Ovis aries: one gene and its partner. Each later gene encodes a partner of the first gene's protein in a complex. Links are inferred from orthologs where the notes say so. Each region holds a gene or a part of one and is shown in the gene's direction. Other genes may lie near its edges. The genes, in order: IRGQ and GABARAPL2.

What was found.
Region 2: the proteins of IRGQ (region 1) and GABARAPL2 are in contact, whole or in part, in a crystal structure (PDB 8Q6Q), measured with the Homo sapiens proteins. The link is inferred for Ovis aries from reciprocal best matches to the Homo sapiens genes IRGQ and GABARAPL2. Residues at the interface, in NP_001007562.1 of Homo sapiens: Asp7, Thr9, Leu11, Pro47, Leu49, Phe57, Pro70, Trp71, Glu74, Pro181, Ala182, Gln183, Asp184, Gly185, Phe186, Glu187, Val188, Leu189; in NP_009216.1 of Homo sapiens: Ser10, Glu12, His13, Cys15, Val16, Glu17, Ala19, Lys20, Ile21, Ala23, Lys24, Tyr25, Arg28, Pro30, Lys46, Lys48, Tyr49, Leu50, Val51, Pro52, Phe60, Ile63, Arg67, Phe104.

The regions. Positions count from the first base shown.
Region 1 is NC_056067.1:51,628,916-51,636,422, reverse strand, and holds the start of IRGQ (immunity-related GTPase family Q protein), read left to right. Parts: upstream 1-2,806; 5' UTR 2,807-2,927; coding exon 2,928-2,937; exon of another isoform or gene 2,938-3,085; intron 3,086-3,393; coding exon 3,394-3,925; intron 3,926-5,286; coding exon 5,287-6,625; 3' UTR 6,626-7,507. Other genes in the region: ZNF576 (zinc finger protein 576), read right to left, coding at 1-255, 1,854-1,954, 2,315-2,343. UniProt on the Homo sapiens protein: Autophagy receptor that specifically promotes clearance of misfolded MHC class I molecules by targeting them to the lysosome for degradation.
Region 2 is NC_056067.1:2,350,157-2,357,653, forward strand, and holds the start of GABARAPL2 (gamma-aminobutyric acid receptor-associated protein-like 2), read left to right. Parts: upstream 1-3,266; 5' UTR 3,267-3,363; coding exon 3,364-3,397; intron 3,398-3,722; coding exon 3,723-3,778; intron 3,779-4,906; coding exon 4,907-5,079; intron 5,080-7,497. UniProt on the Homo sapiens protein: Ubiquitin-like modifier involved in intra-Golgi traffic. Modulates intra-Golgi transport through coupling between NSF activity and SNAREs activation. It first stimulates the ATPase activity of NSF which in turn stimulates the association with GOSR1.

The DNA.
Region 1 (7,507 bases):
AGGGGAAGGTGGGTGGTGTGGTGATGGGTGCAGCCGGCTGGGAGGCCCTGGCCACTGGACCGTGGCCGCGCTGGTGGGTGATCAGGGCCTTGGAGGAGGGGAAGGATCGGGCGCAGGTGAAGCAGATGAAGAGGACCCCCTGCAGCTTCTGGGCCACGAAGTCCGCTGGGTGCTCCCGCTTCATGTGGCGCTCCTGGAACTTGGAATCGGCGAAGGTGATGAGGCAGCGGGTGCACTCCAGGGCCCCCAGGTGGCCTGAGGACATGGGGGAGAGGTTGGGAGAGGCCAGCAGGTGTGGCGAGGGCCTCTCCCAGCCCCAGAATCATGCCGACAACCAGCATGCAGGACTTGACGTGCTCTGTGCCAGGTGCTGTGCCAGGCCTGGACGGGAGACTTACTGGACCTATTTTGTGAATGAGCAGACCAGGGCTGCAAAAGCTGAGGCAACTTGCTGACTGTCATGAGGCTGGGAAGTGAAATGGTGGAGTTAGAACTGGAACCCAGGCAGTCTGCCCTTCTGACAGAGCTGTATGATTAGGGCACAGCCTCTGGAGCCAGACTGCCTGGAACTGATTTCCCCTGGCAAGGGAAAACAGTGTTTTCATCTGGAAAATGGGGTAATCATTGTATTAGTATCCACCTCATATGGTTGTTGGAAGGAATAAATGAATGAACTTATAAATAGTGTTTAGAACGGTGCTACACAATGGTTTGCAATAATTATTGTTGAGAAAGAAGAAACCCCACAGCCAGGGGCTGGCCTGGCACAGCTAGGCCTTGGCATTCTCCTGGTGAGCATAAACAATTCCACAGAACGCTGTCAAACAAGGCCGTGCTGTGACTGGGGCAAATCAAGACCACACCATGGTGCTGTTCTGAACACAGACAAAACGTGAACATTGTCTGGGCCATGAGAAATGGCCAGACAGCCCCCTGTCCTGGCTTACGTGAGTGCCTGCTGCTGCTTGGCCAGTCAGAGCTGGAGCGTTCCCTTGTTCCTCCCTCCTCCTAGGTCAGATTTATTAAGTGAGCAGCCATCTAAGAGCCCTTGCTTCCTGGCAACCTCTATCCAGAGCAAAACCCCTTTCTTGAACCCTTCCCCAGTGGTAGGGAAGTCCTTTCTTATGAGATGCCCCACAGTGTGTGTACTTCCTCAGCACAATGAGCAATAAGCCTGATTTGCTCAACTCCACGTGTGTTCCTGGTGGTCTCCGGCTAGAAAGCACTAACACTAGCTTTCACTGTTATAAACACATAACCTCTCTTTGCCTCAGTTCCCTCACTTCATATGACAGTGATAATTATCAATTTCATAGAGTCTGTTAGGAGGACAGACTGAGACAAGTGTTAAAATCTTAGAATGCATCTAACACGTAATTAGCATTCAGTAGAAGCTGTTGCTGTTCTATGTCAAATTGGCTATCTTCATTAATATTAAGCTTTCTCCTTTTCTGCAGCTAATCCTCATACCAGCCAGCCCTGTGAGGTGAGGAGTGGCCACCCCTTTTGACAGGGAAACTGAGGTCCAAGGCGCACTGTAAGTCCAGGGCAGGGTTGGGACTGGGGCTCACTGCCCTTCCCAATCATTTCTCCCACCCCAAGCCTCTCTGGATGCCACTCTTTGCCTCTGAAGTGCATCCCTTTCATATTTATGTGGACAGAGCAGGGAGCTCTGCTCCTTGTTACCTCTGAGGGTAACAAGGGTCGGGGTCCTGAGAGGGCAGCTCATGGACCATTAACAGCTCCTTCCTAACGAGTAAGTCCCCACAATGCTTTGAACACTGAGATGCTATAGAAGTCCTTTTAGCATCACAGCTCCTGCAACCCACCCTCCTCTGGTCAGCAGTACTCACAGAGGTCACCTCTCGGACTTCGGGAACTTCTCTCCTCGGACGAATCCTGCTGCTCCATGGTCTGCTTGGAGTGCCGGTCCTCCATGGTGACTGGGACCCCTCTGGTCAAGAGAGGAGCATGCATGGCAGAATAGTAAATCAAGTGAAGTCGCTTATCTATAGCCAAATTTAGAGGGCCCCCTAATCCTGTGATCTTTGACAAGCTTACTTTGCCCGTCTTTGACTTCCATGAGATAACATCTCTTTGAATTCTAACCTAACAGCTCTCAGTAGAGAATTCAACCTTCCAAAAGATTCAGCTCCTCAGCTCTGTGACTTCTCTTAGCGCCTTCTCACTTGAGTGACCTATGCCTGCTACATCAAACCAATTCCCTGAACACAGAGCTAGGGACCCCTGATCTTTGGACACCAGCCTCATCCCCTTCTCTTCCACCTGTCTTGAGGCAGGTAGTGGTACCCACGCTTTAGCCCGCCTCCTCCCGAGAGACATCTTTCTCTGACATCCCGAAACTCTGAGACCCCGCTTCCCACGCGCGCTTTCAGCCGTTGTGACCCGCTGCCCCCAAGCACTGCCCTCGGCTCCCTCCCGAGGCCAGTAGCCTAGGTTTCTGCTTTTCTCCAAGACAGCAGAGGGGCTGCCTTTCGTTGCGCCTGTCAGTTGCTCGTCACAGCGCCGTCACCCGAAGGGAAACGGGGTAGGGCCCACCGAGTCTCAAAGTCCCGAGGCTTTCCACGGCCTTTCGCCTGATGAGCCTTTCGAAGCCCGGATCTTGGATTGCCATCCGACTGCAATGATGCAGTCCCACCAATTCGGTCCTCAATATAACGCGAGGGGTCCTTCCCTGCACTGGGGTGCGTAATGATGACGTTGTACGCAACTCTCGCCTGACCGACCGGTGCTTACTGCGCAAGCGTGTTAGGCGCTTCTGGCGCGCACGCGCTTTGGCTCCCTCATTGTTCTAGGACCTGCGACCGCTGAGAGCGGGCGAGCGCCCATCCGTCGTTCTGCGCAAGCGCCGCACAGCGCTGTCTTCCCGAGGTTACGCTTTCAAGACACACCTCCTCCTAAAGGGAATGACGTCAGGTTAGAACCCCTGGAAAGCGTCTGGACGTCCCCGAATCCCGGCGCTCTAACCTCTTAGGCCTCCGTCCCCCGACCCCAGAGCGGGGGCTTCTTAGGGGCAGACCACCTGCTACCAACTGCGCCGTCCCTTGTGCTGGTTGTTTGCTCGGTTGGTGATTTGGAAGGGAGGAGTGAGGGGTTAAAAACATCTGTATCCCAGAGGGTGTTGGGAGCTGGAGGCCAATTTCTGAGTTTTTGAAGCGGAAAAGGAAAGCCATCCAGAAGGAGGGCGGACGGGACTCCCGGGTCCCTGGGGAATAGAGGCTGGGCGCCAGATTTCTGGCTGCCTGGGAGTGGTACCCGAGAACGAAAGAAAGGGACAGAATAGTTGGCTGAAATGTGAGACCGGAGTAGGGAGGCTAGAAAATAAGGTTGGGTGCTCCGTGACCCAGGTCTTCCTCTCTCCTTGCTTCCCAGCTATGCCTCCGCCGCGAGGTGACGTGACCGTCTTATTCCTGGGGCCTCCGGGCTCCGGAAAATCTGCGCTGATCGCAGCGCTGTGCGACAGAGATGTGGAGACGGTCGAGATCCCCGACGGACGGCCGGATTCCGGGCTCCCCAGCCTGCGAGCTGCAGGCCCAGGCCTTTTCCTGGGCGAGCTGAGCTGCCCACCCGCAGAGCCGGGACCCTGGGCGGCGGAGGCCAACGTGCTGGTACTGGTGCTGCCAAGCCCCGAGAGCAATGAGGAGCCCTTGGCCCCGGCCCTGGGGGAGGCAGCACGGGCCGCCCTGGCCCGAGGGACCCCGCTGCTGGCTGTGCGGAATCTCCGACCCGAGGAGTCACAGAATGAAGCCCAGGCCCGGGATCAGACCGCGGCCCTGCTGGACAGCGCCGGGTTGGGCGCCGCGGCTCTCTTCGTTCCACGGACCGACTGCCTCAGCACCGACGGCTGCGAGGAGCTGGAGCGCCTGCGAGCGGCGCTGCGGAGCCAGGCCGAGGCACTGCAGAGGTAAGCGCGGAGCTTCTGGGTGGGTGGAAGAGGCCTGGAGCTTTATTTACTCTATACCTCCACCCTAAGGTGCTCTTTGAAGTCATCCCGCAGCAAGTTTGTGACCAACCTTAAAGAGATATCTGCTGAAAGCCCTGCTCCAGATCCTGCCCTTGAGTGCAGGTCGTGAGGTCCGCGAGGCCCCACCTCAAGCTAGCACTCTGTGCTTTTGTCATCTAGGCCCCATCCAAGGGTCGGTCAGCTGGAAGTCCCAGCCTGTCATCCAGCCTGCTCCTGCTAGCACTCTGAGGTCAAAAGTCCCGCTACCCTGCCAGAATTCTAGGAGGGGCCCGGACCTAAAGCCCAAACACTGCCCCCAAGCCAAGGTGTGAAGGAGGGCTTGCTCTCTGCATCCAAACTGGTGATCCTCATGAAATCTGTACCCGAAGACTCCACTCTCCAGTCTTTCCTCCTCACCATCTGCTTGGTTCTCGAGGGATCGCAGTCTCCAGAGAGCCCACCCTCAGTGAGCTTTGTTGTTTAGGGGGCCCTCCCCCATTTCGTTTCTCTAATCCCCTCCCTCTTCTTTCTGTACCCACCTGCTGGCTATCTCCTATCTCCCCCCACCCACCCCCAAGCAGCCTTGCCTCCTTTGGTAGAGGTTGAAAGAGCCTCAGGGAGGGGCAGCAGCTCCAAGCCCACCACCATTCTTTTTTCCTTAGCCCCACGCCCTTGCTAAGAACTATTAAATGAGGCTTCTCCCCTCTTTGGACTTTACACTCCTACTAACGCCTCTGCTCAAGGAAGAGCGCCTGTGTTGACCTTGCCCACCTAGAGCATTTAGTGCAAGGTTTTCATTTAGTCCCTCAATTCATTCCGGATTCTTTTGCCCTAAGGCTCACTGTGAGTTTTGCCCCACCCAGCATGGCCTTTTCTTAATCCTGCAGGTCCTTTGGAAAGCCCAGCTCCCAAAGAGTGTAACCCCTGGGGAGACTTAGCCAGTTCCCCATTTTCAGCTGTGTTGGAAGCCAGATTTCAATCGAGCAGTCCCTCCCTTGCTTTAGGCAATGATGGAGACCTGGGTTCGGTCCTGGAGTCGGAAAATCCCCTGGAGAAGGAAATGGCAACCCACTCCAGTATTCTTGCCTGGAAAATTTCATGGACGAAGGAGCCTGGTAGGCTACAGTCCATGGGGTCGCAAAGAGTCAGACACGACTGAGCCACTTTACTTTCCTTCTTAGCCTCGGTGCCGTTAATCTGGCCCCTCCCTTTCTTGCTTCAAACTCCACCTTGTCATTTTAGCCTGGTCCGACCCCCTAGGCTAGCTCTCCAGCCTCCAGCCCCTCTTCTGCCCTTGACCCTATCCCTCCCTATCCCCGCAGGCTCCTTCCACCAGCTCAGGATGGCTTCGAGGTGTTGGGCGCTGCGGAGTTGGAGGCTGTGCGGGAGGCCTTTGAGACTGGGGGCCTGGAGGCGGCCCTGTCGTGGGTTCGGGCTGGCCTGGAGCGACTGGGCAGCGCACGCCTGGACCTGGCCGTGGCCGGTAGGGCTGACGTGGGCCTTGTGTTGGACGTGCTCCTCGGGTTAGATCCTGAAGATCCGGGTGCAGTGCCTGCTGCAGCGCCTGCAGGGCCCACGCCCTACCCGGCCCCAGAGCGCCCCAACGTGGTGCTCTGGAGCGTGCCTCTGAGCTCCGCGGACACCACCGTCTCCCCGTACCCGACCACCCACTACGACGCTCTCATCCTCGTCACCCCTGGGGCCCCCACTGAGAAGGACTGGGCCCAGGTCCGGCCCTTGGTGCTCCCGGATACACCACTGGTCTGCGTGCGAACAGACGGCGAGGGCGAGGACCCAGAGTCTCTGGAAGAAGAGGAAAAGGCAGAGAAGTCTGGCAGCGAGAGCTTAGAGAACCCAGACGGAGAGGGGTTTGAGACTGCCCACAGTGATGGAAAGGAGAACCGCGGCCCCAGATTGCAAAAGGGAGGCAGTGGGGAAGGTTCAGAGGAAGCAGGCACGGAGAGTTTGCAGCCAGTGGGCGTCAGCGCGAAGAAATCCGGCAGCGGGGACTCAGAGCGCGCAGCTGCCCTGAGCCCCGAGGACGAAACGTGGGAGGTGCTAGAGGAGGCGCCGCCGCCCGTGTTCCCGCTGCGACCGGGCGGGCTCCCGGGGCTATGCGAGTGGCTGCGGCGCGCGCTCCCCGCGGCCCAGGCGGGGGCGCTGCTGCTCGCGCTGCCGCCCGCGTCTCCCCGCGCGGCCCGGACCAAGGCTGCTGCGCTGCGGGCCGGGGCGTGGAGGCCGGCCCTGCTGGCTAGCCTGGCGGCAGCGGCGGCCCCAGTCCCAGGGCTGGGCTGGGCGTGCGACGTGGCGCTCCTGCGGGGTCAGCTAGCGGAGTGGCGACGGGCGCTGGGGCTCGAACCCGCGGCACTGGCCCGACGCGAGCGCGCGCTGGGCCTGGCGCCCGGGGAGCTGGCCAAGCGGACGCGCTTCCCGGGCCCGGTGACGCGAGCCGAAGTGGAAGCGAGGCTGGGCTCGTGGGCGGGCGAGGGCACCGCCGGGGGCGCGGCGCTGGGCGCGCTCTCCTTCCTGTGGCCGGCGGGCGGAGCTGCGGCCACTGGGGGCCTGGGCTACCGAGCGGCGCACGGCGTCCTGCTGCAGGCGCTGGACGAGATGCGCGCGGACGCCGAGGCAGTGCTGGCGCCGCAGGTGCCCGCGCAGTGAGAGCTGGGCTGAGGGCCGGGGCTTCCGGGTGTGCCCAGGGTCCCAGCTGCCTGGCTCTGCCAGGGCCGGAGGACTCAAGACCCGGTGAGAGGGAGAGGGCACGGGGTCCAGACTCTAGCATGGGATGTCTGGGCCTGAAGGATCACAGAGCAAGGGGTCTGCCAGTCAGAATCCTGGGTGCTTGAAGGGAATGAGGGCTCTGACTAGGGCCTCGAGTGGGTGACGTCTGGTCACCAGGATTCCTGGGTCCTGAAGGGAAATAGAGTTCTGGGGACGGGACTCCTGATTTCTCTGGGTACCATCAGACTATGGAACTCCTCAAGGGAGTTGAGGGTTTGGACTCCTCAAAGGCGGCCATCTTGGTCTCTCAAGAGTAGAAACTAGATCCAATAGGTGTCTAGTCCCCCTGGGGAGGAGGAGGTGGAGGCCCTGGTTGCTGATGAAGGCGATCTCCTTCACACTAGGGATTCTGACATGGAGGAGGGGTGGTCTGGGTTCCCCAGGGAGCTGAACTCCTTGGGCTTCTGAGCCACAAAGGGATATAAGATCTAGGTTTCCGGGGGTGAGGGAAGGACGGTTCTCTGGACTCTCAGAACGCCTGACTCCCCAGAGGGCTGAGGTCTTTGCTTTCTAATTCATGGGTTGTGGAAGGTATCCATGTAGAGGAGGGTACCGGGTGCTGTGTGAGGGAGCTGGAGACCCTGTGGTCCCTCTTCGGAACTGGAGGGGTGTGATATTTGCCCCTCCAGAAGCCTGGGGGCACAGATTTCTTTCCCCGCTATTGTGGGGAGGATGGTACCACAAAACACAAGAGGAAGCAAGAGTGTTCTGGGCATGGTTGGGCTGGGGAGTAGCCAGAGACCAGGAATGAGGCTTCCTGAC
Region 2 (7,497 bases), about 49 Mb from region 1:
ATTTATCTTATAACTGGAAGTTTGTATCTTCTGACTGACTTCATCCAACTTTCCCCTCCCTCCACCTTGCCTCGGGTAATCACAAACCTGATCTCTTTTTAATGAGTTCGTTTTTGAAGTATAATTGACCACAACATTAGGTTAGTTCCTGTTATACAATATAGTGATTCAGTATTTCTATACATTTCAAAATGATTACCATGATAAGTTTAGTTATTATAACCTAGAATTGGGTTTTCGATGAAGAGAACAGCTGAGATCCTAGCAAAGAAGAGAGGTCAAGACGTGCCCATATGGGAAAACTATACAATGCCCTTATCACAGTCCGAGATGACAATGTCATCAGCCAGAGAAACCAATTAGAATGGTGAACTGGAAAAAGACATCAGGAAGGTAGGTAAAGGGAAGTCCCTGGTGGTTCAGGGGTTAGGACTCTGCGCTTCTAGTGAACTGGGCATGGGTTGGATCCCTGGGGGTGGGGTGGGGGACTAAAAACTAAGATTCCTGCTTGCCGTGCGATGTGGCAAAAAAAATAAAAAAAAAAAAGGTAGGTTATGATAGAAGACAGACATTGCACCTCGAGACCATCAGGTGACAAACATGCTTGTAAGTTGCTTCGAATCTCTCCACTAAGAAGCATACTAAGTTCTTCCAGGTGTAAGATGGTGTACACATACTTTGAACTAGGACACAATGACCAGCTCTGTAAAGGGAAGCAGGGGTCTTTGGCCCAATTTTTAACTTCTTCACTGATTCACTATCAGAGGGTTGACAACCATCTTCATTCCTTAGTGTTTAATTCTATTTGCAAAATAGGTTATTTTCATTTTTATACTCACTCTCTTCTGTCAGTTTAGTTCAGTCACTCAGTCATGTCCGACTCTTTGTGACCCCATGGAGTGCAGTACACCAGGCCTCCCTGTCTATCACCAACTCCCGGAGTTTACCCAAACTCTTGTCCGTTGAGTCAGTGATGCCATCCAACTATCTCATCTTCTGTCATACCCTTCTCCTGCCTTCTATCTTTCCCAGCATCAGGGTCTTTTCAAATGAGTCAGCTCTTCACATCAGGTGGCCAGACTATTGGAGTTTCAGCTTCAACACCAGTCCTTCCAATGAACACCCAGGACTGATCTGCTTTAGGATGGACGGGTTGGATCTCCTTGCAGACTGCAGGAGGACTGCAGCCCACCAGGCTCCTCAGTCCATGGGCTTCTCCAGGCAAGAATATTGGAGTGGTTTGCCATTTCCTTCTCCAGAGGATCTTCCCAACCCAGGGATCGAACCCGGTTCTCCTGCATTGGAGGCAGACGCTTTAACCTCTGAGCCACCAGGCTATATTCAAAACCAAACTCTTGATTTGCATACCCCACCCCTCTGGCTCCACCCTGTTCCAGTAAATGACCACTCAATTATTCCAAAACCCTGACTTAGACTTGTTCCTCACGAATCATATTCGATTGATCAGCAAATTTTGTTGGATCTACCTTCAAAATGTATCTAGAACACAGCTGCTTCCCATCACCTCCACAGATACTATCTTGGGTTAAACCAACATCATCTTATACCTGGATTATCACAATAGCCTCTTAACTGTTCCCTTACTTCCATCCTCAACCCCCTATAATCTACTGTCTACACAGAAGCTAGGAAAGTCATATCATGTCACACTTTTGCTTATAACCCTCCACTGCCTTCTCATTCCATTCTAAATAAAATCTAAAGTTCTTCAAATGGAATTCAAAGCTCAACCCACTTTTCTAGATCTCTTTGGTCTCACTTCCTAATGCACACCTTCTTATATATTCAGCTCCAGTCACATGGGACTCCTTCGTATTCCCAGAAATATGTCAACCACTTTATCTAATTAGCATTCACTCCCACCATCATGGTGACTCACTAGTTACCAAGTATGCTTTATTTTTCTAAACAGCACCTATCATTACCCAACATATTTTTTTTCATTTTGTCCCACTAGAATGCAAACTCCGTAAGAGTGGAAGTATTGTCTGTTCTGTTTGCTGCTTTTCACCAACACTTAGAACAGTGCTCTTTCATGCAACAACAAAAATTTCCAGGCATGAAATTCAAAGGATTTTTCATAAAAAACAGTCCGACAATCAGTCACCTCTAACTCCTCTGGCAATTAAGGTTAATGTTAAAATAACAAGAAATACTTCTAGAATGAAGCTATATTCCACAGCATCCATCAGGAATTTCAACTTAGGAAATGATAAATGACAATATTCAAACATACAAGCCTTTCAGATGCATCAGAATCGCAAGCACGTGGCAAGGATCACATGCCCAATTAAGTGAATATCTTCTTACATATTCACCAGCTCATAAACAGAGGGATGAACCAGAGCACACTGCCCTGGTGAGTCTTGGAGGAAGAAAGGAATAGTCACTGGAGAACCTGAAGGCAGGACACACACACACACACACACACACACCCCTTAGGTTGTGATGCTGAATGCCAAAGAAACCCACTTCATGACTGGGTATCAGGGGAATTCTCTGGGTCTGACAGTCAGTCACCTCTAACTCCTCTGGCAATTAAGGTTAAATGGTCTCTTTGTGATCAGTGTGGTGTTACACTCCCCAAATGCATAGTTAATATAACTTTTCTTAAACGTTTATTCATTTATTCGTGAATAAGGGAAGGAGCTGGGATTTGTTTCAAATCCCAATTCCTAGGTCCAACGCAACAATTATGATTGTCCTCAGTACTGAACTCCCGCGTTGTCATCAGTACCCCTCTCCACACAGTCCCCTCAAACCAGTCACATCCCTCAGACTGAGCCCTGAACCTGCAGTCACTCCAAAGAAACCTCCCCAAAGTGTCAAAGCCCTAACTAGACCCCTTGCCGTCACAGGCCACCAGAGCAACCTCTTCTGTCACTGAAACCTACAAAATTGCCCTCTTGTCACCAACGCCCCAGTCAGACTTGTCTATTGAACAGACTCCTGTAAGGACTCTATCCTGTCGGCCGGACCTGCTCACCTCTTCCCTTTACTAACGTCCACCGAGACCCCACGCCTGCTACCAGCTCTCGAATACCCGCTCCGCAGTCATCAGTATCCCTCACAGACCTCCCAGTCGCCCACTCTATTCCCCGCTCCGCCGAGAGCCCCTCTACGCCCCTCTCCTGCCCCGCCCCTTGACGTGAGGCCCCGCCCCTTGACGCGGTGTCCCGCGAGCCGCGCCGGAAGCCCCGCCCCTCCCGGTTGCTAGGCTCCGGCAGCCGGAAGTCCCGCCTGCCGTGTAGTCACCGCCGCTGCCGCCGTCGTTGTTGTTGTGGTTGGTTCGCTGAGCTCCGCGGCTCCGAGAGCCGGCTGCGTCCCTTCTTCGCCGCCGCCATGAAGTGGATGTTCAAGGAGGACCACTCGCTGGGTGAGCGCTCGGCCGCTGGCCCGGCCGTGGGGGCGGGGGCGGCGGGGGCCCCCTCCCCCACTCGGGCCGCCCCAGGCTGGGCCGGGCGGGGCGGGTGCTTCCCTTGGGGCTCGGGCGGCCGAGGTCCTGGCCCCCAGGGCGGTTGCCCACACGCCCCGGGCCGCCCGCTGCGGGCCCTGCTGGAGCCGGGGCCCCGAGGACCGGGCCCGCCCGGACGCTCAAGAAGACCGGGGGCGTGCGCAGGTCCCAGAGGGAGGAGGGCCGGGGTTCTGGGAGCCGGCCGGCGGGCAGGCGCGGCCGTCAGCCCCGTGTGTTTCTTCCTCAGAACACAGATGCGTGGAATCTGCGAAGATCCGAGCGAAATACCCCGACCGGGTTCCGGTGAGTGCATTCCCCGCCCCCTCGCCTCCCTGTCACCCCTGCCGTCTAGGGCCGGTGGTGGGGCCCAGGCTGCTCAACAGTTGACAAGTTTAGACTACAGTCACGGTTGTGGTGGCAGATGGGCCGCACTGGGTAAGGGGCCGTCGAGGGGCGCGACTTGACGGGCTGTAGTGGATGCTGTTCAGGTTGCTTCGGTGCTGAACCTCGCGATCTAGGCCAGCGAGCTGTCTGCAGCCTCTGGGCTCCCTAGCCAATTATGTAAGAAATGATGTTCTAGGACAGGGCGACAGGTCACAACCACTTTAGGGAATGGTGGTGGAGGGAGACGTTCACTTTGATCTTGAAAGTGGTACTTAAGTCTCAGGACATTCATCTTTAACTTTGCGCCTTCCTCTTTACCTGACTTCTGGTTCCCTTTTCTCACCCTGACCCTGTCATCCTTTGCTGACCAAAAAAAAAAAAGTCTGAGCCGCTGCTGATCAATAATGCTTATCCTGTATTTATCCCTTGATGGGGGAAATAATTTCTGTAACCCTTATTTATTTTTGAGGACATCCAGGCCTGTTATTGTAGTTTATTGCTTATGAACAGTTCCTTTGGGGAGAGGCAGGAGGGATAGATTTGAAACTTAGTTCAGAGAGAAGCAACAGGCCAAGTGAAGAGCTTGGTCCTTGGCTGCCTGGAGTTGCCAGTCATCCCCATTGATCTGTCCCTTCTCATTTCCTGTGTTCCTTGGGATCTTAATTCCCCTGTAGTGTGAAGGCAGATACATTCTGGGGCCCTGGAGTAAGAGGCTGTAGAGGAACCCTTCACCAGATATTCTTGAGTCTGCCCAAAGTATTGAAAAACTTTGTAGTGAGAGCTGTGTTTCTCTTATGCATGCTGAGATCAGGGGTGAGAACTGTATTAATAATTGACCACAGAAAAGCACTTGCTGTTGCCTGTAACACATGTATATCAATTCTTAATCTCCAGAGTGTGTGGCGTATTACGCCAGGGGCATGTTTGCTCATGTTATGCCGTTTCCCACCCACCTCCTTGCCCACACACTGTGGATCAGCACTCCAGCAGTGCGCAGCCAGGGCACCGCGTCCGCAGTCCAGTCATGACCGCACTTTGCTTTTGCAGGTGATTGTGGAAAAGGTCTCAGGCTCTCAGATTGTTGACATTGACAAACGGAAGTATCTGGTTCCATCCGACATCACTGTGGCTCAGTTCATGTGGATCATCAGGAAAAGGATCCAGCTTCCTTCTGAAAAGGCAATCTTCCTGTTTGTGGATAAGACAGTCCCACAGTCCAGGTGAGGGGTGTTTACTGGTATTGGACATCTGCTTGGTTGCTTACAGGACTCAAAACTTTGGAAGTCTGAAAACTTTTAGAGATCCTGATTAGAAATCTGAATTTTGTGCTCCCTGACATCAGGAGCTCAAGGAAAACAAGAAAGGGCTGCAATAGATGTGTGTGTACTTTGGGTTAAGAAAACAGAGCAAGGCCTGGACTTTTTTTAAAAAAAAGATGAAATCAGCCTCAGATACCCAAGAATCCTTTTTAATAGTTCGGGACTTACTTAGGCTTAAGCCATCAGTAGAACTGAAGCCTGAAATGAGGTTTTTTTCCAAATGATCCATGAAATAAGTCCTGTCGTTCTTCCCCAGGAGCCTGTGGGCCCTGCTGAAGCTCAGCTTCAGTTAAGCACCCTGCCTGCTCGCTCGCTCTCCAGGCTCAGTCCTGGCCACTGTGAGAGTCCGCTGCCTGAGCCTCAGGTACCCGGAGACGGCTCTTTACAGACTTACACCTCCCTTTGCTCTGTCAGTAGCTGCCCTCTTGTTCTTGCGGTTGTGCTGCCTGGAAGCAGTCTTTGGGATATTTGGGGCCTGAATTGAGGCAGGGGCATTACAGTTCTCTTCAAGGTAGGCGACAGCCTAGCTTTAGTCTCCTGTGGAGAGAGGAGAATTTTCTGGCTCAATCTGTACCCCTGGTCAGTTCTTTTCTGTTACTGATTTGAGTAACAGAGCCAGATGCTGGCTCCCTTCCTCCTGAGTTTCATTTTGTTATCCCCCCAAAAGTAGTACTTCTGATGCTAAGGCTTTAAGAAGCCCTGGGAACTAGCCCAGTGTAGCCAAAATATGCTTCTTTTGAAAATCCTTGAAAACTCCAAGAAAGGCCTAAGCCAAATTCTAGTCCCATTTCCTACGAATGGAATAACTTTGGCTATTTTTAAGGTTTTCTCTTTCCCATTCTCTGACACTTCTGCTTCCTGATGTTTGGCAGAGGATTGCGTGGAAAATCCCATGGACGGAGGAGCCTGGTGGGCTGCAGTCTGTGAGGTCGCTGAGGGTCGAACACGACTGAGGGATTTCACTTTCACGCATTGGAGAAGGAAATGGCAACCCACTCCAGTGTTCTTGCCTGGAGAATCCCAGGGACGGGGGAGCCTGGTGGGCTGCCATCTATGGGGTCGTATAGAGTCGGACATGACTGAAGCGACTTAGCAGCAGCAGTAGCAGCAGGGGCGAATGGAAGGTCTGCCTTCCATTAGGCCAAGGCTCTGCCTGAGGAGAAAGGCCAGGCTCTGCCTAAAGGGCGCCATGGCCTGCTTACAGCTCGAGCTTAGGAAGCTGTGGTGTTGCCAGGGGTCATCTTGTCACCCCGCTGGGCTCTCGGCCTTCCTTCCAGGCCTCTGGGCACTGTGGTGCTGGGTGCATTCTTCTCCAGGGGAGGCTAGGGAAGCCCTGGGCATCTGCGGTCATGTTCCGTTTCCTTGCAGGTGGTGGGGAGGTGGAGGTAAATCAGTCTTCATGCCACCTGCAGCTTGTGCAGCCCCTTGGCGGCCCTGTGTGTTCTCCTTCCCAGAGTTGGCTTCTGGGTGGGAAAAAGTTTGTGAGTAGGACCTGTAGCCTTGAGTTTTGTTTTCCTTGATCCTGATCTTCTGATACTTTTTGAAGAAATGAAGCAGGCTTCTGGAGACATTAAGATTATGTTAATGTAGCAATTACAATGGCTGCAGATTTTAACTAATGCCTCTCCTCCAGTAGAATTGGAAATGAAAAGTGATTCTCAGGGTAGCAGAGGCTGCTTTCTCTCTTAAGTTTTATTTGCTTTTCCAACCTGGTAAGAATCCTCCTTAAAACAGGTTACAGTGGTGACCCAAGGCACACTAACCAGCCCCTCCACCCAGATCCTTCAGCGCCTTTGGCTCCAGTTAATGACTTCCTGGCCCACATTTAAGGCAGCAGTTCTTTGTTTGGGGGTTTTAGTCTTCAAAACAAGTTTGCTTATAAACAAAAGAGGCATGTGACATCCTTGGGCTGATCACCTGATTCCTGCACAGACAAGATTGGCAGTCTCCTCCTAAAGCTACAGTTTTGACTCAGCTTCATCACTTCCTCCCCAAGGCAGTAGGAGCTTCTTCCTTAGCACTTTCCAGCCTCCTTAGGGAAGCGTGGAGCCTCCTTTAACCATTAGCCAGTGTTTGCAGCCTTTGGAGAGTGGCTGGGGAAATCACAGTTGAGAAAGGATGAGCCCTCCCCCATCCCATAACAAGCATATCTACACAAGGATTGCGTATGTCTGAGGCTGAGCAAAAGCAACTTCATTATTCTTGCCTTAGGGTGGGCTTGAGTGTTCCGGGACACAGGCGACCATCCTGTAAAATAGTGTGATTATTGTTTGAGTAGTCAGTGTTAATACTGACTCTAGAAATACAGACAGAAGCAAG